5 linked regions of the Mus musculus genome follow. The protein of the gene in region 5 binds, or shares a complex with, the protein of the main gene of each other region. Links are inferred from orthologs where the notes say so. Each region holds a gene or a part of one and is shown on either strand. Other genes may lie near its edges. The genes, in order: Dlg1, Lin7a, Lin7b, Lin7c and Cask. A codon is read from its position in the direction of its gene.

Region 1 (4,110 bases), on a different chromosome or scaffold from region 5:
ATCACGGGGAACGTTTTTCTTTCACTTTCTGAAAGGAGGTAGATCTACCTGAGCTCTAAAGTCCTAAGGTTCTCACAAGTTAGGATTCTAAGGTACAAGCCAAAAGTGAAACCCAGTCATCAGCATACTTGGGTTATGGCTATCGTGCAAGGTTCTTCTCTGACTTTTCCATTGTCAAGGACACAGAAAAGGCCTGTCAGGTTTATTGAAAAACCAAAAAACCCCTCATCTTTCTCCCCCTTTAATTAAAACACAAGTACCGGTAGATTGATTTTAAATGTGTCTGTGCATGGAGGTTAAAGGACAAACAGGAGGCTCTCTCCTTCCACCATGTGGGACCCAGGGATGGAATTCAGGTTATCAGGCTCATAGGCAAGAACCTTAACCAAGCGAATCATCTTCAAGCTGGATCCAAGCAGATCCAGCCTTACGGTTTGACACACATGGATCTCTGCATTTCTGGTTCTGCTTCAAGAACTTCTGACGACTTTGGAAAAATTCTCCTGGGCTATGGAGCAGAGAAGTTCCTGCTGCTCAAAAGCAGCTCGAGTCAGTGACTTGGAGAACTTTCCCCTTCAGGCTCAGTTCTAGAGCAAGTGTCCCTTGGGACTGTTTGTTGGGCTGTGAGGTGCTTGAAATTTAAACTAGGTGTGAGGGCTGGCAGCGAGAGGCTTGCTTTCTTTGTTTTCCACCTGAGACAGGGTTTCTTCTCTGTGTAGTCCTAGCTGTTCTGGAACTCACTGTTCTGGATGGCCTCGAACTCACAAAGATTAGCCTTACTTAGCCTTTCTGGGATTAAAGTCCTGTGCCACCACCGCTGGGGTAGACAGGTGAGTTTCTTAAAGGGACCGCCATAAGATGGGTAACTCCTGGGAGCATCTCTGGGCGGGGACACATTCATGAACGCACAAATGAATGCAGGCATGAATGAATGAAATATTAACGACTGAACTTTTCACTTGTTTAAACGGCTCGTACTAGGAGTTAACCACTTAGACCTAAAAATCCTCTGAAACCCTCAAACGTTTAGCAAACTAATCCGTCTCCGCTTTACATCCGGTCCTTAATGAAACTCCTCAAACCTTTTTTTTTTTTTTTTTTTTTGTTTTTCTGGACAAACGAATAATTTAAAAACCAGCAAAAAGTGGAAGACATACAATACCCCTTCCCCTCCTAAGTCCCTTCTTCCTCCGCCCCTTAACGCGGGTGACTGGTGCGCAGCTCCGCACAAATTCCTTTTTCCCTGTTGGGGATCCACCCCGGGCGTGCCAGGCACTCTTCCTTTCTTGAAGTTGGCCAGCACGTGTTCAGTGAGGTGAGGGGTGTCTTGAGCTTGTTTCTTGGGATCTAGCGCAGGTGAGGTCACTTCTCTCTTTCAAAGTCTCCAGCAACTCGAGTCCGGCGCGCTAGTTCAGAACCGCAGGCCACCGGAGGTGGGCTAGGGCAACGTGCAGGCTTGCTGTCCCAAAGCCACTTCGGGCCACCTGTAGAGCGCGTGTCAACTCCTTTGTCCCCAGAGCCGCTTCCACCGGAGCTCCTCTCCGCAAGGCGCTTCCCTGTGGATGCTTAAGGGTCCTCCTTCCAGTACTCCAGCCCCCTCCCCGCCCTCCTCCCGGCCCTCCTCCCTTCTCCAACCCCGGTAGCAGCGCCCGGAGCCCGGGGCTCGGAGCGAGCCGCCTCCTCACTTCTCATTGGCTGAGAGCGTCGGGGAAAGCAGTCACGTGGGCGCGCGGCAGGCCAGCTCCAGGGCCGCCATCTTGGCGGAAAGTTTAGGGGGAGAGCGACTGGGGGCGCGGAAGGAGGCGAGGTTCCGGGGGTGGGGCGGCCCGGAGGCGAGCGGACGAGCAGGGGCCGCGGGCCGCGGCGAGCGGGCGAGCGGCGGCGGCCGAGGCGGAGAGAGCGGCGCGGGGGTGCGGCCGCCGAAGGGGGAGCTCCTCCCCCGTCCCCTCACCCCCTCAGCTGAGCTCGGGGCGGGGCGGGGTACGTGGAGCGGGGCCGGGCGGGGAAGCTGCTCCGAGTCCGGCCGGAGCGCACCCGGGGCGCCCGCGTACGCCGCTCGCGGGAACTTTGCGGCGGAGCCGCAGGTGTGGAGGCCGCGGAGGGGGGTGCATGAGCGGCGCGGAGAGCGGCGGCTGTCCGGTCCGGCCCCTGCTGGAGTCGCCGCCGGGAGGAGACGAACGAGGAACCAGGCAAGCGAGAGGAGGGGGCCCGAGCGGGCCGGGGGAGCAGCCGGGCGCTCGGCTGGGCGCTGCGCGGCTGGGCACGGGCCGGCCCGCGGCAGCAGGTGGGGAGCGTGGCAAGCACGCCTTGGCGGCGGCGGCGGCCGCGGCGGCCGGGCTTCTCCTCTTCAGGTGCTCTTTGCGGAGGGGGGAGCTCTGGAGGCACCTACCGAAGCGGGCTTGGGTCTGATCTTAATCTGTAGGGGGCATAGCGACCCCCGAGAACTCGCTTTCCGCTTTGGCTGACACTGCTGGGGGTTTGAGGCTTCTGCTTTTTTTCCACTTGGGAAAACTTTGGAAGGTGGGCAGTTCCACCAAGGTTGGAGTTTTTCCCTAGTCGAGAGTTTGGGGCGGGGGATGGGGTCGGGTAGGGTGGGGTGAAGTGGGGTGGGGCGGGGGCAACGAATGGATCCACGATTCAGTTCATTGCATTAGTTCAAGTTTTCCTTCCTGTTTTGTGTTTGTAAAGGTGTGTGCCGCCTTCCTGATTCTGGAGAAAAATGCCGGTCCGGAAGCAAGGTGAGAATTTATTTTGGAACTGTTTTGTGGCTGTCACTTGCTGTAACATACATCAGTGTTGTGGTTACTGTTTTTAAAAGGTTTGTGTGACTTTGAGGAATCAGCAGGCTCTCGCTTTTATTCCTTATGGTATCAGAGCTTCCCATCATTTCAGAAGGTGGAAACATCTAGTTGGTTGCACACACCTTCTTGACATCTGTAGTCATTACAGAAGCAATCAACAGAAGCAATCTGCCCCCTACCATGTCTTTTTCAAAACTTCATTGCTTCAGTATTTCACTTTATCACTCATATCAACACTATTTTGTGAGCAACTCTGTGAGCAACTAGGAATTAATGTTTTGAAACACGTTTTGGTTATAGGAACAAATTGTAGATAACTTGTTCTTGTCTGTTAGGCATTCTAAAAACCAAGTTGCTATCAGTTTAGTTAGACGGTCTTTTAGTCTTGGAAGCTGTCAGTCCACAGCTAACACAGGCTACTCACTTTCTCCTTTCTCTGCTGTGATATAAAGCCTTTAAAATATTTGTCTTAGTAGGGAATGGAATATGGATATAGTGATGGCAGCCCTTGCCTTGGAGGCTCAGGGGAACTTATAGATGTCTTGTAGAGGTAGCGTGTAGCACTCTCATGTAAATATGTATGCAGATACACACAGAGCCTTAATATATACATGAAATTTTCACCGTATTTGTCTTTTCAGATACCCAGAGAGCATTGCATCTGTTGGAAGAATATCGATCGAAACTAAGCCAAACTGAAGACAGACAACTCAGAAGTTCCATAGAGCGGGTTATTAACATATTTCAGAGCAACCTCTTTCAGGCTTTAATAGGTGGGAGTTAAAACTTTTCTACTCTTGACCACTGTACTAGTGCCTGATGCTTCTCTGTTATGTTAAACTTAGAATTTGAAAGACAATGTGTTTGGCTCTCTAGATGGTCCTTAACTTAGGACATCTCTAGTGATTTTTTATTTTGCAGTTAGGCCACTGTCACTTCTAAAAATGTTTAATTATCAGAAAAACTTCTGGTCTGGTGATTTCTGTGCACTTTGAGAGCACAGTTTCATGTCTTAGAGTTAACAGCTGGAATATGGACAAGTTGTAGAAATGTTTTAGGACACCAGTCGTGACAACTGAACTACTGTTGGTGTTTTTGTAGTTGGCGTGTGTTTCTCTGGAATCCTTGGAAATATTTGAAAGGCTCTGCTGCTGTGCTTGAGAGCATTTGCCTCTCTGACACACACACACACACACACACACACACACACACACCCTCTGTTAGAGTTGCCATTTGTGGAATATGAATTTTAGACCTGAAACATGATCTCAGAGATGATGCTGTCTAATTACCTTATTCTAGTATTCCT
Region 2 (4,155 bases), on a different chromosome or scaffold from region 5:
AGGCCCGAGATGCCACATTCCCTTTAATCCCAGCACTCAGGAGGCAAAGGCAGGCAGATCTCTGAGTTCAAGGCCAGCCTGGTCTACAAAGCAAGTCCCAGGACAGCAAGGACTACATAAAGAAACCCAGTCTTGCTAAACAGGTGTGGCTGGTAGAGATCCACCAAGTGAATCTGGGAACGGTTCATAGCCACCGCCTTACGTGCTCCTTTCTAGCATCCTTGCTAGCTCTGCAGGGCCATAACCTCATAACTGTACCCCAGTTCCGTATGAAATCTGTATAACAAACAGTTCTCCATTTACTCCAGCTTCAGTTCACTATCACTAGTCTACATTGACTTTATACTCCATCACAAGTCAGGGATGATGAGAAATTCAAAGATGGGTTAAGAAATGGCTTCGTCCCTCAAGGAGCTTTACACATTGGGGGAGACTAAAGGAAAGAAGGATTGTAAATTATAAAGGCTTTGATGGAGCCAAAAGCTTTTGAGTGAGCAAATTTAGAGTGTATAACATGGGCCACCAACGTATCAAATGGCACTCTGGAAACTTGGAGTGACCCAAAATCGCCAGTAGGTGGCCAAACGCTGAGCCCTAAGTTGGGTTAACCGAATTACAGGCTGCTAACACTGCACATCTTCACAATTATCAGACCTTCATGTCCTAATGCCCAACCAAACCAGGACAAAGCTTAGAATCACATATTCCATCAACCTAATAAAATTACTTAACTTGGTGTACTATCATAGTGAATTAGAGGGAAGATAACTTCACGGACTTCTTACACACAGAGCACTTAAAGCCAGTGGTTCAATAATTCAGATGTTCCCATAGATAACCTGACTGGGCTTCCTTTGTTACTTACTCTACAGATCTAATCACAGAAGGACAGGTACCCTCTGAATATAAACAAGAACACACTTTAAATCTTGGTCTTCTCTAGATAGCTGACTGGGGTGTCCAAGGGCTAAGATAAACTTCCCCAAAGTGGACTAGTTGCATTGCTAATAGTAGTGGTGGGATGTAAATTTGCTTGAGTATGTTGTCTTCTTGGAGTGTTTGCATCTAACATAGTTAGAACTTGGGTTGTTTAATATAGTTAAACTTGGGGTGTTTAATGACTGTAATTCAGTAATGGGACAATAGAAGAGCTCATCACATTAAAACAGAAATAACTTGGGAAACCCATCGTTTTTAATAGCCTGCCATCTGTTTGGCTCTTACCAGCAATGGATTTATCCTGCTTAGTACAGATGATATTGGGACTAAAATCATAGATTATACGACGGACTTCTGAGCTCTTTACTCTTATTAATCTGTAAACGAACATTTCCCAACATAAAAATCAATTATTTTTCAACTCTTACCCTAAGTAAGGTTGCTATGGGCACCGCATAATATCCGTTCTGGCACCAACAGATTGAGTTAAAGTCACCAGAGATCTCTCCACATTAAGAACCTCAAATACAGTTTACCAGCTTTGCCACTGTGCTCGCTGTACGATGCTCTTTTTGCTTTGCTGGGCCGCTAGTTTAATCCTCCAGAAAGAGAAATTTTAGAGGGACAAGGACTAAATCATTTTCTTCTGAGCACAGCATTTTCAAATGACTGCACCGGGTCCTAAGCCCCGCCGCTGCGGACCCAGAGCTAGAGGTGCCCTCTCTCTGCAGAGCTGGGGACTCTGGAGCCCTAATAACTAACTGGACCTGGTGAGGCAGAAAGGAAACTCCCATCCACCGCCAGGTACTACTCGGGTGCACTCAGCAGGGCCCGATCCTAGAGAAAGGTTTGGAAAGGTTTGGAAAGGTTTGAGCAAAAGCTCTTTCCGTTTCAGCCAAAGAGTAGGACGCACAGGTCACAGGCTAGAAGTTAAACAGTTACCCAGCCTGCGCTTTGTCTCCGCGCCTTCTGCAGCCCAGGCACTGAGGTACACTTGACTGGTGAAGAACAAGGTTTGCTGGAGCAGGAGACAGGAGTTGCTACCTCCCTGGAACTGCAGGCTGAGGGAGTACCAAGACCAGAGCCGCAGCTCCGAGCGGGAAGCTGGAGCCAAGCCGGCTCGGCTCCGGATGCGGTGTCCCTGAGCCAGCGAAGGTTGCCCGAGCTCTGCTCTGCCCTTTCGCCCGAGGGCAGCGCCCTAGCCAGGCAGTCCCGCGGCTTTGCACCCAGCTTCCCAGCCAAGCGCCCTGCCGCCCTGGGGCGATCTCCCAGTCACAACAGCTGCACAGACCCCTCATCTCCAGCGCGGGGACAAACTTCCTCCCTTCGGGTCCCCGCGCCGGCAGTTGGCAGCTAGCTTCCCCACTGGTCCCTTAGCAAGCTCTGGCTGGGAGAGCTTTCTCTGCCCCTCTTCAACCTCCAGTCACCAGCGCTCAGCGGTCCCGGCGCATCCTCTCCAACAAAGCCGGGGCCCGGAGGCGACCCGGCGAGGGACCGAGACTGTCAGCTGAAACATTCGAGCCCTGGCAAGCACCTACGCCCCGGAGAGCGCAGCAAGAAGGGGCAGCGGGGACCAGGAGAGGAGAGAGGGGAAGAAAGTGTCCTGCTCCGGGCGCGAAACCCTCCTGGGCTGATCCTCCTCCCCCAGCTGCCCCTGCCCGAGCGCATCCTGCCTTCCCTGTGGGACTGGGCAGGGCGGAGGGCGAAGCGGTGCGGACTGTGTGGCCTGACGGACCAGCCGCTCCCTTACCTCTGTCCAGAGTAAGCGGCTGGACCACTGTCAATGTCGCCATGTCTGCCGTGGGAGCCGAAGTGACGCTCGGCTTCAGCATCAGCAACCGCTTGTAGTGAGAAAAAGAGGAGGAGATTGGGGGCGGGGGTGGAGAGGGAAGACGGAAAGGAGGGGGAGGAGGGGGAGGCAGGAAGGTGGTGATGGAGGAGAAGAAAGCTCGGGTGGGTTGGTAGCCAGATGGAGACTCAACTGTTCCGCCGCGGCGAATCTTCAGTGCGGCGCCAAGCAGGGCAGGTAGCCGCGAGCGCCTGCCTGGCCAAGGAGCTGAGAAAGGAACGCTCAGCCCTAGAACTTTGCTCGCCCACCCGTCAGTAGCTCTGGGTGGCTGTAGCAGGTTTGCTGTCTTTCAACTTTCCACCTAAGCATAATGGTCAGAATGCACTCGAACCCAGAAGAAGAGGACTCAGAAACGGGAGAGAGACAGACAGGGGTAGAGAGGTGGGGGGACAGAATTCTTTTCAGATTAAGAAAAAATTTCAACCTCCCTTTCCACATCCCTTTCCAGAGGAAACGCCACTAGCCGTGGGAGATGTTGCTATATCATTGTAGTTGCTGTTAATTTCTGTTGAAGCTTTTTGTTTAGAACGTCCACTCTCAACAGCACAAGGTAACCGACTGAGGGCCAGGCAGGGTTCTGTTAAGTCAGTGTTCGTTTAGGACCTGGGTACATTGCCTAGGAAAATGACTTGCCTTTACAAGCAAACTTCCTTAAAAGGTTCTGAAATAAAAAACGAGTTGCTGTCAGTGAACAGTATTTATCAGGGACCCTCTCCTGTTAATCTGGAAGAAACTTGTATTCAGAGGTGCTATTTATTAATTAGCATGCATGACAAGAGTTGAGCCACGGATGTTTGGTGCCATTTGCTACATCTTAACCTGGGGATTCACTTTTGTTTTCTTTCTCTGCATCCTCCGAATTACAGGTAGATAATGTGAAAGGCCTTATTTCTGAGTCAGTAGATCACAGTTCAGTTCCTGGAGCCTTCAAATACTGACTATGAGCCTTAATCCCAACTTTCACTAAATGTTCACCAAGCCTCATTTCCTTATCAAACCATGAAGAAACATGGAGAAAGATCCTCTGGGCTTTACCGAGATTGGTGGACACAGAGCTGAGATGGCGATGCTGCCCTCCCTGTGACAGCTAAATCATCCTTGTGACCCAGAGACCCTCAGAGGTAGACCCACTGGGTTGCAGAGTATTTGCGTATGACCAAATGCTACGTTCTTCTAATGAGACTAAGAGGTGAGAAAGCTCAGAAATTCAGCAGGAATTGAAAAGTCAAAGATGACTGACCATCTAACTATGCAACAGATCATTGGATACATGCTGAACGTAGTCTTTCAATGTAGTCATCTTCTAAGAGTTTTAAGTTTAAGAACTTTAACCATGAAATTCAACTTTTCACAGCTCCCAGGATCTG
Region 3 (3,942 bases), on a different chromosome or scaffold from region 5:
CCTGTCCACCTCAGTGCTCCCCACTCCACCTCTCACCCAAACAGGCAGCACTCCACGTTAGTGGACCAGTCTCCAGGGCCTTATCTGCCCTTCTGCCCCTTCTGAAATCCAGTCTCCCTGGAGATCTTCAGATAGGTATTTGACCATCTTGTACACTCTCAGGGGTTTATATGGAGACACAGATCCAAATGCAAATTATAACACAAGACCACTGTTTTGCCGTCACCACTGCCTAGCCTCTTGGCTACTCTCTGGGTGGCTGCTGGGGTGACCCAGGTCATACAACTTGTTGACTTTATCTTCCAAGCATCTCTAAACTATAAAGGTCTTATTCAAGTTTCTCTCTCCTCTCCTCCTCTCTCCCCTCCCCTCCCCTCCCCCCCCTCTCTTTCAGTGTGTGAGTCTAGGTTAGTCTAGACAGGGTCTCACTATGGAAATCACTGACCTTGGAAGTGCTGAGATTAAAGACGTGGACCACCGGGCTCTGTGTGTATGTTTTGTCAGTCTTACGTAGACTTGGCTAGCCACAAGACTTCAGTGTAACTGAGGGTGACCTTGGGCACTGTTCCGATCACCCTGCCTCCACTTCTGAATGCTGGGATTACAGGTATGATTTATGCTCTGCAGGGTGCAGGACCTAGAATCTCAGCCTGCAAGGTTAGCACTCTTCGACTGAGTTACCCCTTCAGCTTTTATTTTTCTGCTTTCTTGAAATAGGCTCTTGTTAGGTGTTTCTGTCTTCCAAGTCACAGCGATCCTCTTCTATAGGCCCCTGGAGTCCTGAGAACCCACGCCCCTCTGTAGAAATGAGGGGAAGTTACCAGAAAAGCACAGACATACTGTAAAGAGCAAGGCAGACACACCAACGGAGTAACAAGATCGCGGCTAGGATAGACCTATGATGGGCAGCAGATAGTGATGTAGGAGCGAGACACCCAGAGGGGGAAGGTCTCTAGAGTTCCGGAGTGGGCGGGACCCTGCGCAGCACCGCCTCCTGTCAGTGTGAGGGCAGGCCCTCTGAAACTGTTGGTTGCCGTGTGGGCAGGGCCTCATGCACCACCTCCTTGCCAGCACCTGGTGGGCGGGGCCTCGCATTGCACCTCCTCGCTGGCGCCTGGGCGGGTGGCTTGCATTAGAGGCGATATGGCTGCACTGGTGGAGCCGCTGGGGCTGGAGCGGGGTAAGCGCTCCGAGGGTCCAGTCCGGGCTCTGGGCTCCGTTGGGTTGCGACAGGCTTTGCAGATGCGGGGGTTGGGGGGCGGACCTAGTTAGGGTGGGCGGGGCGCGGCCTGCAGTCTGAGGGCGTGGGAGGGTCTGGGGCGGAGCGCCCCACCAACACCTCGCCCAGGGTTGGGGTCCCCGCGACCCGCGAGGCACGTGGATCGCTTCCAGTCTGACCTCGATTGCCCTTCTTGCTGCCGGCGTATGCTCTCGCGGTCCCTGCCGCTTTCTGCAGACGTGTCCCGGGCTGTGGAGCTGCTGGAGCGGCTGCAGCGCAGCGGAGAGCTGCCCCCGCAGAAGCTGCAGGCCCTGCAGCGGGTCCTGCAGAGTCGCTTCTGCTCCGCCATCCGCGAGGTGAGCATCTTGGTTCTGTATAAGTTGTAGTTTCCTTGCACTCTGCGGCGGGGTCGGCGACGGGCGAGCGGACGAGGACACCGGTGTCCAGGGCTGTGGACTGGCAGCTCTCTGACGTTGCCGTGTCCCCGACTTCCCAGGTGTATGAACAGCTCTATGACACGCTGGACATCACTGGCAGCGCCGAGGTGCGGGCTCATGCCACAGCTAAGGTAAGCTCCTGCTCCGGTAGCTCTGGGTGACCACGAAAGCAGTGCCCTCCTTCACATCAGCGCATCTCTGTGCCACCCTATGAAGATTTATTTATAATGCCCTTTAAATAACTGCACATTTTTAACTTGAATGCACATGAGATTCTCTCTAGCAACAGGCTTGGAAACTGGCCTCACTTTCCTGTCGGTAAGATGACCCTAAAAGGCAATCCTGTTGGATGTTGTGAACAGGGACACCTTTCCAAACTGCAGTGCTTATTACTTATTACTGCCTGCAGACTCAAGATTTACACCTGATCCCTATCACCCCACCCCACCCCCGAGGTGGGGGGGGCACTTGTTTCCATTTGTCTGAGAACAAGATTGGCAGGTGTTAAGTACTAAGGATGCCCTTCTCCCTGACTTTCGGAAGAAAGCAAGGGTTCTCACAGGTCGGAGTCAGTATAGGGTAGCCTCCTGTTGAGCTGTGTCAGGGTTCCCCTACTTGATCTTTGCGGCTACGCTGGCTGGAGTGCCCATGTCTCAAAGAGGGTCTCTCTCATTGAGGCGTCTTCTCTCTTCCAGGCCACAGTGGCTGCTTTCACGGCCAGTGAGGGCCACGCACATCCCAGGGTCGTGGAACTACCGAAGACTGATGAGGGTTTGGGCTTCAACATCATGGGTGGCAAGGAGCAGAACTCACCCATCTATATCTCTCGAGTCATCCCTGGGGGCGTGGCTGATCGCCATGGTGGCCTCAAGAGGGGAGACCAGCTGCTGTCTGTGAATGGTGTGGTGAGTGGGGTTGGTAGTGTCCGTAAGGCAGCCCTGGACGGTCACATTCCCTCTACACAGGGAACACAGCCTTTGGAGACAGCACTGTGGGGTACACTGCTGACCCTCAAGGACTTCAGAGAGCCTAGCTAGGATAGCAGCCCAGTGTAGAAGATGGCAGTTGTTTTCAGGAGGAATATTTGGCTTGGAGGTTGAAGGTTGGGTACTTCTCTGAACTAAGATGTGGAGGGGTGGTTCTGGCTCGGAACAGAGATGGTCCCTGAGATGAGGAGAAAGGCTGGCTCTGCCTGATGTCTGGGCCAGTCAGCATCCTGAAACCCCAGTGATTAGAATCCAAGGAAACACCACCGAGGAGGTCGTCTCTCCAGAAAAGCCCGGCTTCTGGCCCTGGGCAGTGAGGGCAGGAGATCAATAAGCTTAGGGGGTGTAGACAGACTTTTTTGGGACAGGTTCAGTGGCCTGGTTCATTGAGGACACTGGGACTCAAAGCTATCTTGACATGCAGTTTTTAGGTTGTGGGTGCTGTGCCTAAAGTTGGTGATCCACTAGAGGGATATGAGGCCTTGGAGACTTGACCCCAGCAGCCGTGTCACTATCCACTGGTCCCATGTCCTGGGTAGGGTGGTAAGGGCAGCGGTTTGGGCCAGCAGTCTGTGCGAGGCCTGCCCTGCAGAGTGTGGAAGGCGAACACCATGAAAAGGCGGTGGAACTCCTGAAGGCTGCACAGGGCTCAGTGAAACTGGTGGTGCGCTACACTCCTCGGGTGCTGGAGGAGATGGAAGCCCGCTTCGAGAAGATGCGATCTGCCCGTCGGCGCCAGCAGCACCACAGCTACACGTGAGCCTCCAGTCACCATCCTCTCCCTGCTGCCTTCCCCAACCTTAGATACCCAAATCAGGCCAGTGAGCACAGCGGCCTTCAACATTTATCTCTGGCTCTCCACCAGGGGTTTTCTGACCTTTGACTCCTGCCATGGTAGCTAAGGCCCTGGGACCCTCTGGCTCCCCAACTCCAGAAGCCCTGTGCCTGATTTTCTGAACTGTTGTCTCCAGAACCCCACCATTGAACATCTTACGCGCCCTCCCCCACCCCACCCCTGAACCTACCCTGTGTCTAAAACTCCCCTCTCTACACCCTCACAGGTCCTTGGAGTCTCGAGGCTGAAATCACAGACCAGGACCCTCCTTCTCCTCCCCTGTACAGTATTATTTATTGTCACTGGCTCCTTATTTAAAGATCTTTAACCCTCACCGAGTGTCTTGTGTGTCTGTCGCGCATCCTGGAATAGTCTCTGTGGGGGAGGAGGACAGTGAAGCTGAGGTTAAGAACAAGCTCATTCCAGTCTGTGTACCATGATAGACAACGCTCGCGCAGCTCTGAA
Region 4 (4,182 bases), on a different chromosome or scaffold from region 5:
CTAGAAAACAAGGAGGGAATTCTAGTTTGAGAATTATTCAATTTTCTGTAACAGTTTTATAGCTTGCAGAGTCCTTCCAGCTGTGTTAAGGAAAGAAAGTGCATCCTGTTTCAATTTCTAGTCCTTAGAAGGTGACCTTTTATTCTCTGGAAACTTTTATGGTCTTCTGCGTAAGCCTGGAATTCTGGGATTTTTTGTGTGTTTATCATCAAAGACATGGAAAAAGACTACTCCAAAGGAGCAGAAGATAGAGATAAAGCTCAGATTTGTGTAGCTTGTACAAGTCTGCAGATTCGAGTCTCTGGAAAAGTAAGTAATGTGTAACCCCAGCTCATAAGAATAGCTCCTGTCAGCCAAGAAAACCTGTGTCATTTGTATGGAGCATGAGGAAGCTTGAAGGCTACTGCCCAGTGGTGGGATTCAACTACCTAATAACAACATGTAGAAAACTGCAGTTCAACGGAAAGAATGGGTCACCTGCAACCAGCTATTAAAACAATCCTGTCGTGCAGGTGTTACAAACTTAACACTGGACTATGATCTTTGCTACCCAAATCCAAGTTTCACAAAAATTATTTCATTGAAATTAGTGACTAAAAATATTTGGGTCCACCAAGTCTTCAAGAGTGGCCCTATGAGGATCTGGAGATGACAGACAGTGCTGTTAGGAGTACTGGCTCCTTTTCCAGGGGTCCTGGGGTTAGATTCCCAACACCCACAGGGCAGGTCTCAACCATCTGTAACTCCAGTTCCAGGGGAATAGATGCCCTCTTGTGGCCTCAGGTTTGTAAATGGTGCAGATATACATAAGGGCAAAACACCCATTAATATAAAAATTCTTACAAATTACAAAATGTACCCATAAAACAAAATCTATGCTTCATCCTTCATTCACAAGCAGATTTTGAATCGGCTAACTAAAAACAATACTTCGTGTATACCAAAGCGTTCTCTCCCGGTTGTTTTTTTTCCCACCTTTCTGCTCAAAGAGAGTTTTAGATAAAATTCGAATTGTAAATTTTTTAAATTAGATCAAGCTAGGATATTAAGAATTTATAAGAGGACTCGGACATGGGGAAACCAGCCTAGACGGTCAGAGGCTGCCGTCGGTCGGGTAAGGGCCGGAACTAAGGTCCTGACTTCCCCGAGGCAGGGGACACTCGGGACATCGGTTCTTTTCAACCTCAGGTTGTTGGAAGTGGACGAGCACAGACCCACGAAAGGAGGCCACCCGTCGGTCGCAAAGCGTCCCCGGCTACCGCTCTGCGTAGTTACCCGCATCCTTCTAGCTCTCGCGTTACTACCATCCTCGCCCTTCCGCTTTCTCGGCCTGGTCCACCGCGGCCCCTCTGTCGTCACTTCCTGTGGGTCTGCACCTCCGAAGAGAAGATGGCGGCGCTGGGCGAACCTGTCCGGCTGGAAAGGGGTGAGTGCGGCGGGGGTCGCGGCCGCGGTGGGTGGGGCGGGTCGAGACTACGAACCGCTCTGCCTGCGGGCCGGAGCGGAGGCAAGGTGACCCGGACGCTGAGCCCCGGAAGCCCTCGGCGGCCTCGGCGCCGGGCGCTGCTCGCGGGGGGCGCTGGCTGGCGTTTGAAAGCTCGCCAGAGCCGGCCGTTGAGGCTGGCGGCGGGCACAGCACGGCTCAGCGGCCTGCCCACGGCTGTAGGCACGGGCGCTCCCTGGGTCCGCACCGCAGCATCGGCTTTCAGCTTCATAGACCCTAAAAGCCGAGGCCACCACGCAGCCCGGCACTGTCTACGGTCAGTGTGCGCGAACAGATCAGTGTGGCCTCTTGGCCTGGTTCTGCCACTTGGCCGACACAGACACATTCCCGCAGAAACTCCCTCGCCCCCATTTAAAACTCAGACTCCTTCAGTACTGTGACCACAGCCTCCGGGCTTTGAGTTGCTCTTTCCTAACTTTCGCACCCCTCCAGCCACGGAGAGGATGCTTACAAAAACAAAAACAAAAAACAAACAAAAAAAAAACCCTCCAACTGACTTGATCTTGGGAAGGAGATTACATAACTAGGTGGAGTAGTGATTTGATTGTAAGTCACTTTTAAGTGCCATGCAATTCCATACTCATAAACCCTACACTTGGAAACCTGGTTGGTTGATTGCTTCTTAGAGCAAACAGCCAAGAAAAACCAACCCGATTGAAGAGAAGCCTGTGAAAAGACTCTCCCAGGGTCCAGTTGCAGCTTTCCAGTATTGTACTCTGTTCTGCCCCAACTTAAATTTCAGACAACTGGAACAAGCTTTGTACAATTCGGTAGTCATAGTAACCAGAAAGTACCAGTTAAGCATTTCGAGTGCTGTTGGCAAACATCGCCTGGGATGGAGTTTGACATTGCATATATTTAGTATTCACAATTATAATCTCAATATCGTCCAAGAAGGAAATCATTTTATAAAATTTGTGTATGTAATAGAACCTCTTTCCTCACACACTGTGCTGATTATGATTCGTTTTGCTTTTTATTGTAGTGACCATGGGAGCCTTTTGTTTCTTTTTAAATAAATGAACTTGTTTGTGACAGGGTAGCTTGGGAAAGAATAAGGTAGGCTTACAGCTGTGTCATTTTCCCCTCAAGTACTACGGTGTCAATGTGCTTTGAACACATTGTTACACAGGAACAAATCTGTTGGTGTTAACCAGAAGAGTTGCAAGTTTCAAACAAGATGGCGTTCTTTTGTATCTTTAAATGAAGCACAAAATGTGGACCTTTTCCCTCTGACATCTGCTTTTTGCTGTTAGGAAGTTTTTCAGTTAAACAGTAGAAAGCTCAAAATATTGGTAGGAATGAAGTCCTAGTTGGTTTTTGCCAGTTAGCAGGATAAGCAAGGCAGTTGGTGTCAAGTCCGATTCTGATCAAGAATTCTAACAGACCTAGCATATTCTCAAAAGTTCCACAGTACAATTCCACAGCAAAATACCAGTACATATGACCAAGTTCCTGTTTGCTTCAAAATCATCAAAGCACAATTCACTGGTGCACAAACTTAATGAGCATATATTTGGTATAGAGTGTTTAACTCATTTCTAAGTGTCTCCCTTCTCTCTACCCTCTCCTATCTCCTCTTTTCCTTCTTCCCACCATGTTGTATTGAGTTGAGAGCCTTGTACATATTAGGTGAGCACTCTGCCACTGAGCCGTTTTCCCAGCTGTATATGTAGGATTTTAATGTGGATAATGTATTGTGACTGTAAATCAACAACTGCTGAAACAACATTTACTAGCCATTCTGGTGGTGGGACATCAGAGCAAAGCTGGTCTGTTTGATTAACTGATTAATAGCAGTTTAAACTTTTATTATCTAAAACTGAATCAACTTTTTGCTTCTCTACTAAGTTTATTTGGACTTTTTCATAAACAAATGCAAAGTCCTAACTAATTCTGTGAAGTAAATGCCTGGTATTTTGTTGTTGTTGTTGTTGTTGTAGTTGTTGTTGTTGCGGGATTAAAGGTGTGCGCCACCACGCCCGGCTAAATGTCCGGTTTTTAACGTGGCATGAAATCAAAACTTTCCTCTAGTTAAGTCAAAGTATGCAAGGATCAGAATATATAGGATAGTATATAGACTTATATAGACTCTAAGGTATCCTAACCTTTGGAGCCAAATGAGCACAATTCAAACTTACTTAATTAAATTTAATTAGAATTTACTGCTACTTAATTAGCAATAAGAATATACTGAGGCTGGGGTTCAGAAAAACCTTAGGAAAAAACTCAGAACAGAGATTGTGATTAATAGTGTTATAACATGAAGTTGAGTTTTCTAAAGTTCTTTGTTCACATTTTTTACATTCCCAATGACAGTTATCTAATATGCTAAATGTGTCTGTGTGTGTGTGTGTGTTTGTAGCTCTTTCATATTTTTTTCTTTTTAAGTTGTATATGTTGGGAGACTTTGGAGAGGGGCGTGGCAGAAGAGGGTGTCAGGTCCGTGGAGGTTTAGGTAATTGTGAGATGACCAAGTGGGTGCTAGGATTCAGGAAGTGCTGAACTATGTCTTTGGCCCCTAATACTTTAATATTTCTCTGTATAGCCCTGGCTGTCCTGGAACTCACTCTGTAGACCAGGCTGGCCTCAAACTCTGAAATCCGCCTGCTTCTGCCTCTCAAGTGCTGGGATTAAAGGTGTGCGTCACCACTGGCCGGCTTAATATTTCTTAAAAT
Region 5 (4,298 bases):
TTCGCTTGCTCTTCCTCCTTCTGCAGCTGCAGAACAGAATGGATAAACTTAATTCTACTAGGGGTGTCTTCTGAAAATATTTTCTCAATTTTAAGTCAGCACAACACAGACTACTAACATGAAGCTGACCACGTTTGAAATCTACACTGTCATCCTTTCAGACCTGAAGAAATCAGAACCAATCACCAAAATTGATTCAATGATAGCTATTTCCATCACCACAATATCTGCAAGCAGCTTAATCCCACATTTTCTAATTATCAACTTCAGGCTCACAACAGCTACAACTAAGATACAACAAGTATCCCTCACTCTCATAGCCATTTGTGTGGTTTTTGAGAAACATCGAATTTCTCTTTTTTGTGTCCTCACAACAATGAAGAAATGAAGGAGATTTTTGAATTTTTTTCTCTCTAAAATTGTGGCAGTAGGCTGTGGATATTAAGCACTTGAAATATGACTAATTGAACTGAGGCATTTTGCATTCTGCTTACTTGATTAAAATTTAGAAATAGTAAATTCAGTTAGTGGAAAACTTTTATGTACGTTTGGAACAACTTGAATATGTGAATCTATTTTTTTTTTTGCACATGCAAATTTTATGAAACCTAAATACAGATCAAATACTTCTGGTAAAAAATTAGCTTAGCGTCAAAATTGAGATGTTCTGTTAGTGTAAAATATACATTGCATTTCAATGGTTTAGTAGGAAAAGATATACAGTATGGCAAAATTTTTTCATGCTGAAATCACTAATTATATATAATGTATTACATAAATATTTTACGAAAATTGCACCTTTTTGTTTGAAATCTTTCTAAAGTGCCTACTAGAAAATGACAAATTACACGTGGCTCTCATTAAATAGCTTTTGAACAGCGCTGCTCTGAGCACATCCACAAAGACTGTACCAGACACATTTGGACATCCTCCTCTTAACAGATAGGCTGGTCACTGAACAATGGGGCAAGGAGCATTTGGGTCTAAGAAAAGAGTGTAGCAAGCTCTACCCACAATTTCACCATGTGAGCCGTATTGTAATATCTCAACATGGAGGAAAAAAAATCAGTTACCCGTACTCAAAAAATTGAAACTGAGTATAGTGCAGACAACTTAAAAGAGCTAGAGCCAAATGCTGTCTTGGTTTCATTTCCCAACTGCGGACCTTAAAATAGACAATAAAGCACCGCTTCCAAAACGAAGTAAAATATTCTAATACTAGCCATCTAACGAGCCCTATTAAATAAGCAAAAATCGCTCTTAAATCTGATCTCAACTTCCAAAGCCAGAGAATACACGCTGAACTAGGAAATCAACTTCAGATTGCCAGCATTTCCCTCACAAGCAAATTAGCAGGATTGTGCACTTGGAATACTGTTTGACAAGAATGAAAAGGAAACAATTCAAAACAGATTTCAGGACTGGACAATTAGATGAGGAACTGCAGATTTAATTCTCAATCAGGACTGTGATTAATCTGATTCCCTGCTTTTCCCTAGTGTAATTATACAACACAGATGAAAGGATGAGCATTTGGACTGTCAGTTCTATATTCTAGACCAGCCCGGTGACTCAAAGCAGACGGCTCTACCACGCTAACCACCATCCCAACAACAGTGGAAGGGAGCCTCGAGCACTGATTGTACAGTCATTGCATAACGAGGCATTAAAAATTTGGGTGCCCCCAACTCTTTCTATGTTTGTCTATGGCAGGTGAAGAATTTGCTGAAACTGGACGCATCCGTCTTCAATGACCCTCTTAAATCCGGGCATGGGGTGAACACAAAGGCATCTGTCTAATATCCTGGCACAATAGACACACACCCCACAATTAAAAACCCCGGACGCGCTCTCTCGCTCTCTCCACACAAGCTCATGAAATGCAGGCTGCTCTTTTCGTGAAAGGTCTATGGTACAGGAAAGGTAACAAAAACCCCAACTGTTCCCAGGAAGCAACTACAAAATCGGTCCTGCCACGTCCCTGTGTAACCGTCAGATAAAATGCAGGGAGCCCGCCCCACGCCTTATGGGGTGGCCGACCGGGGCTCGGTGGCCTCCACGCATTACTAAGAAGCCCCCAGACCCATTCCTGGCAGGAAACCCAGGTACACGTCTAAAAATTCTCCAGGGTGAAGAGAACGAGGGAGGCAGAGGGGAGGGAGAGAGGGCAGGGGGCAGGCCCGGAACGGGTGCGGGAGGCCCCGGGCATCGCTGAAAAGCATTTTTCCACACTCCCGCTCCCTCGCGTGGAGACTCACTTGCCGATCACCTCGCATAGCTCGTACACATCCTCGAACAGCACGTCGTCGTCGGCCATGGTCCGAAGGGGACAGCGGCCGCAGCGTGGAGGGTTCTGAAAACTGGGTTGGGGGCGCCCAAGAGCTCAGTGCCCGGCTCCGGGCTCGTGTCCTCCACTCAGGACCCGCAAGCCCTCGGTGCTGAGGAAGCTCGACTGGGGCCGTGAGGCCCGGAGACTGCAGCGCCTTTCCTCTGCCGGCTGCCGCCCCGGCGCGGGCGGCGGGGCCGGGGCGTGGGAGCGAGGGCGGCCCGGGCCCGGCGCCGCCCGCCCGCCCGCTGCTCCTCGCGCGGTGGCTGGCGACCGCGCTGCCGGGGCGTGCGGACCCTCGGGGACCGCGAAGCGCCGCACTCTCCGCTCGTCAGCCCGCGCGGGCCGCGAGGCCGCGACCGCTCCCTCTGCCCGAGACCGGCTCCGGCGCGGCGCGGGGCAGCTCGGGCTACAGGGGGGGCCGCGGCAGCACCATGGAGGGAGGATCGTCGCGAAGGGAGGTGGTGGCGGCTGATCCGCGCTGGGGACCAGGAGGCGGCGGCAGAGACGCTCCCTCCTCCTTCTCCTCCTCCTCCCGCCGCCGCCGCCCTCCCGAGTGTGGGAGGGGGCTTCGCGGGATGAGCGTTCAGTGCGGGCGGGAGCCGCGACCGCTGCCTTCAGCTCCTCCCCTCAGCCTCAGCAGCCGCCAGGCTCCCGAGCCCGAGCACCCGCCTGGCGCGGACTAACCCTCCTCCCTTTCGGCCCGCACGGCAGCGAGACCCGCAGGCCCCGCCCCTCCAGCCCGTTGGGAGGCGTGGACCGCGGAAGGAGGCGGAGGAAGGGAGGGGGAAAAAAAAAAAGCGCTCCCAGTGGCGCCTGCGCGCAGCGCCCGCAACGTCACGAAGAACCGGCGGGCGCGGGGAATCTAGAGGGCGCTGGGGGTCGGCTAGCGGAGCTGCCCGGGTTGCGGGTTGCAGCTGCTGAGGTGGGGCTGGTGGAGGTCGTCGCCTCTACTCCCAAGCTGCGACCAAGTGGAGAAGAGGGGCGAGGGACAAAAGGTCCATAGCAGTCTGCACGTTCTTAGACGGCGTGCTCAGCACTCTGGCAGCTTTCCCTCTTCTTTCGTAATCTCAGAAAGCCGTTCCCCAGGTTTTTGCTGGGGGAGGGGGGAAACGCAGAGAAAAGGTTCTAATGAATGAAAAAGCCTGAAAGGAGGTGGAGAAAGATTGTCACTCAAGACCGTGTTTGGCGGCGGTGGATGCTTTTAGTGCCACCTTGCCATTCCTTAATGAAGATGAGGGCTGGGGGAGGGGGAGAATTGTCCAAGGAAAGGACGGAACAAAAACTGCAGAGGAAGGTGTACAACAAGAACAGTGAACTAGCGAAACAGCTTCGCCTGCCACCCGCTCCAAACTAACCAATATCTATGCAGTTTCTATTGCTGCTAGACAAAACCTAGAGACGGACCAGGAAAAGAGTGTCGTAAAGAGACTTTAAATCCATTGAATATTGTTCCTCAGCACCAGCATCTGCTTTGTTCACTCCCTATAAGTGTTGGAGTTCTTAGCATAAAAAAATGTCACTAGAAGGAATGGACGCACAGGGTCAGCCGCGGAGTAAGGCTGTGGGTGTTGCCGCTGTGCTAGGTTGTATGCAATATGAAGATTTCTGTTCAACTGAGCATGTGCAGAATGAGCCAACGCCACCAGACAGGTATATGCCTTAGTTGAAGACCAATAAAAAAAGAAGTCTTTGTTCCTCCTCATAGCAGAAGTGTCCAATTAGTTCATAAGTCAGCTCTCCAGAAATCATCTGTTAAAATTCTCAGCGCGGTATTTTTTAAACTAGTATTTACCAAAGTGCAGGGGGCAGGGTGAAGATAAAGCCCATTTCCTTTAAACAAAACAAAACAAAACAAAAAACAAAACGATCTGTACAAACCCTTAATCACTCCCTCGAGAGCCTGGCTGATTTGCTTGCTAAATATTTGGGAGCTAAACCTTCTTTCCTTTTCATTTCTTTCTTGCAAATC

What was found.
Region 1: the proteins of Cask (region 5) and Dlg1 are in contact, whole or in part, in an NMR structure (PDB 1RSO), measured with the Rattus norvegicus proteins. The link is inferred for Mus musculus from reciprocal best matches to the Homo sapiens genes CASK and DLG1. Residues at the interface, in XP_038955489.1 of Rattus norvegicus: Gly339, Ala342, Ala343, Arg345, Ala346, Val347, Gln349, Val350, Ser353, Leu354, Glu356, Ile357, Leu360, Thr361, Asp367, Leu368, Phe370, Leu371, Ser373, Val374, Phe375, Asp377, His379, Leu380, Thr382, Leu383, Leu384, Asp385, Leu386, Tyr387; in NP_036920.2 of Rattus norvegicus: Arg4, Asp7, Thr8, Arg10, Ala11, Leu12, Leu14, Leu15, Tyr18, Lys21, Leu22, Glu26, Asp27, Leu30, Ser33, Ile34, Arg36, Val37, Ser39, Ile40, Phe41, Ser43, Leu45, Phe46, Leu49, Ile50, Gln53, Glu57, Val58, Leu60.
Region 2: Cask (region 5) and Lin7a share a complex: the UniProt entries of both Homo sapiens proteins name them as parts of the brain-specific heterotrimeric complex. The link is inferred for Mus musculus from reciprocal best matches to the Homo sapiens genes CASK and LIN7A.
Region 3: the proteins of Cask (region 5) and Lin7b are in contact, whole or in part, in an NMR structure (PDB 1Y74), measured with the Mus musculus proteins. Residues at the interface, in NP_001271432.1 of Mus musculus: Ala405, Arg408, Ala409, Glu411, Val412, Glu415, Ile416, Tyr419, Glu421, Asn422, Asp424, Ala425, Glu427, Leu428, Ile431, Leu432, Gln434, Phe437, Ala439, Leu440, Leu441, Thr443, His444, Val447, Ala448; in NP_035828.1 of Mus musculus: Leu10 (codon at 1,171), Asp13 (codon at 1,180), Val14 (codon at 1,459), Arg16 (codon at 1,465), Ala17 (codon at 1,468), Leu20 (codon at 1,477), Leu21 (codon at 1,480), Arg23 (codon at 1,486), Leu24 (codon at 1,489), Ser27 (codon at 1,498), Glu29 (codon at 1,504), Leu30 (codon at 1,507), Pro31 (codon at 1,510), Pro32 (codon at 1,513), Lys34 (codon at 1,519), Leu35 (codon at 1,522), Ala37 (codon at 1,528), Leu38 (codon at 1,531), Val41 (codon at 1,540), Leu42 (codon at 1,543), Ser44 (codon at 1,549), Phe46 (codon at 1,555), Cys47 (codon at 1,558), Ile50 (codon at 1,567), Arg51 (codon at 1,570), Tyr54 (codon at 1,719).
Region 4: Cask (region 5) and Lin7c share a complex: the UniProt entries of both Homo sapiens proteins name them as parts of the brain-specific heterotrimeric complex. The link is inferred for Mus musculus from reciprocal best matches to the Homo sapiens genes CASK and LIN7C.

The regions. Positions count from the first base shown.
Region 1 is NC_000082.6:31,662,133-31,666,242, forward strand, and holds the start of Dlg1 (disks large homolog 1), read left to right. Parts: upstream 1-1,310; 5' UTR 1,311-1,356; intron 1,357-1,802; exon of another isoform or gene 1,803-2,189; intron 2,190-2,688; 5' UTR 2,689-2,719; coding exon 2,720-2,738; intron 2,739-3,442; coding exon 3,443-3,574; intron 3,575-4,110. UniProt on the Homo sapiens protein: Essential multidomain scaffolding protein required for normal development. Recruits channels, receptors and signaling molecules to discrete plasma membrane domains in polarized cells.
Region 2 is NC_000076.6:107,270,477-107,274,631, reverse strand, and holds the start of Lin7a (protein lin-7 homolog A), read right to left. Parts: upstream 2,802-4,155; 5' UTR 2,772-2,801; coding exon 2,690-2,771; intron 2,239-2,689; exon of another isoform or gene 1,368-2,238; intron 1-1,367. UniProt on the Homo sapiens protein: Plays a role in establishing and maintaining the asymmetric distribution of channels and receptors at the plasma membrane of polarized cells.
Region 3 is NC_000073.6:45,367,760-45,371,701, reverse strand, and holds Lin7b (protein lin-7 homolog B), read left to right. Parts: upstream 1-1,137; 5' UTR 1,138-1,143; coding exon 1,144-1,180; intron 1,181-1,456; coding exon 1,457-1,575; intron 1,576-1,715; coding exon 1,716-1,787; intron 1,788-2,351; coding exon 2,352-2,561; intron 2,562-3,234; coding exon 3,235-3,398; intron 3,399-3,703; coding exon 3,704-3,725; 3' UTR 3,726-3,811; downstream 3,812-3,942. UniProt on the Homo sapiens protein: Plays a role in establishing and maintaining the asymmetric distribution of channels and receptors at the plasma membrane of polarized cells.
Region 4 is NC_000068.7:109,889,496-109,893,677, forward strand, and holds the start of Lin7c (protein lin-7 homolog C), read left to right. Parts: upstream 1-1,382; 5' UTR 1,383-1,389; coding exon 1,390-1,426; intron 1,427-4,182. UniProt on the Homo sapiens protein: Plays a role in establishing and maintaining the asymmetric distribution of channels and receptors at the plasma membrane of polarized cells.
Region 5 is NC_000086.7:13,843,750-13,848,047, forward strand, and holds the start of Cask (peripheral plasma membrane protein CASK), read right to left. Parts: upstream 2,808-4,298; 5' UTR 2,318-2,807; coding exon 2,259-2,317; intron 1-2,258. UniProt on the Homo sapiens protein: Multidomain scaffolding Mg(2+)-independent protein kinase that catalyzes the phosphotransfer from ATP to proteins such as NRXN1, and plays a role in synaptic transmembrane protein anchoring and ion channel trafficking.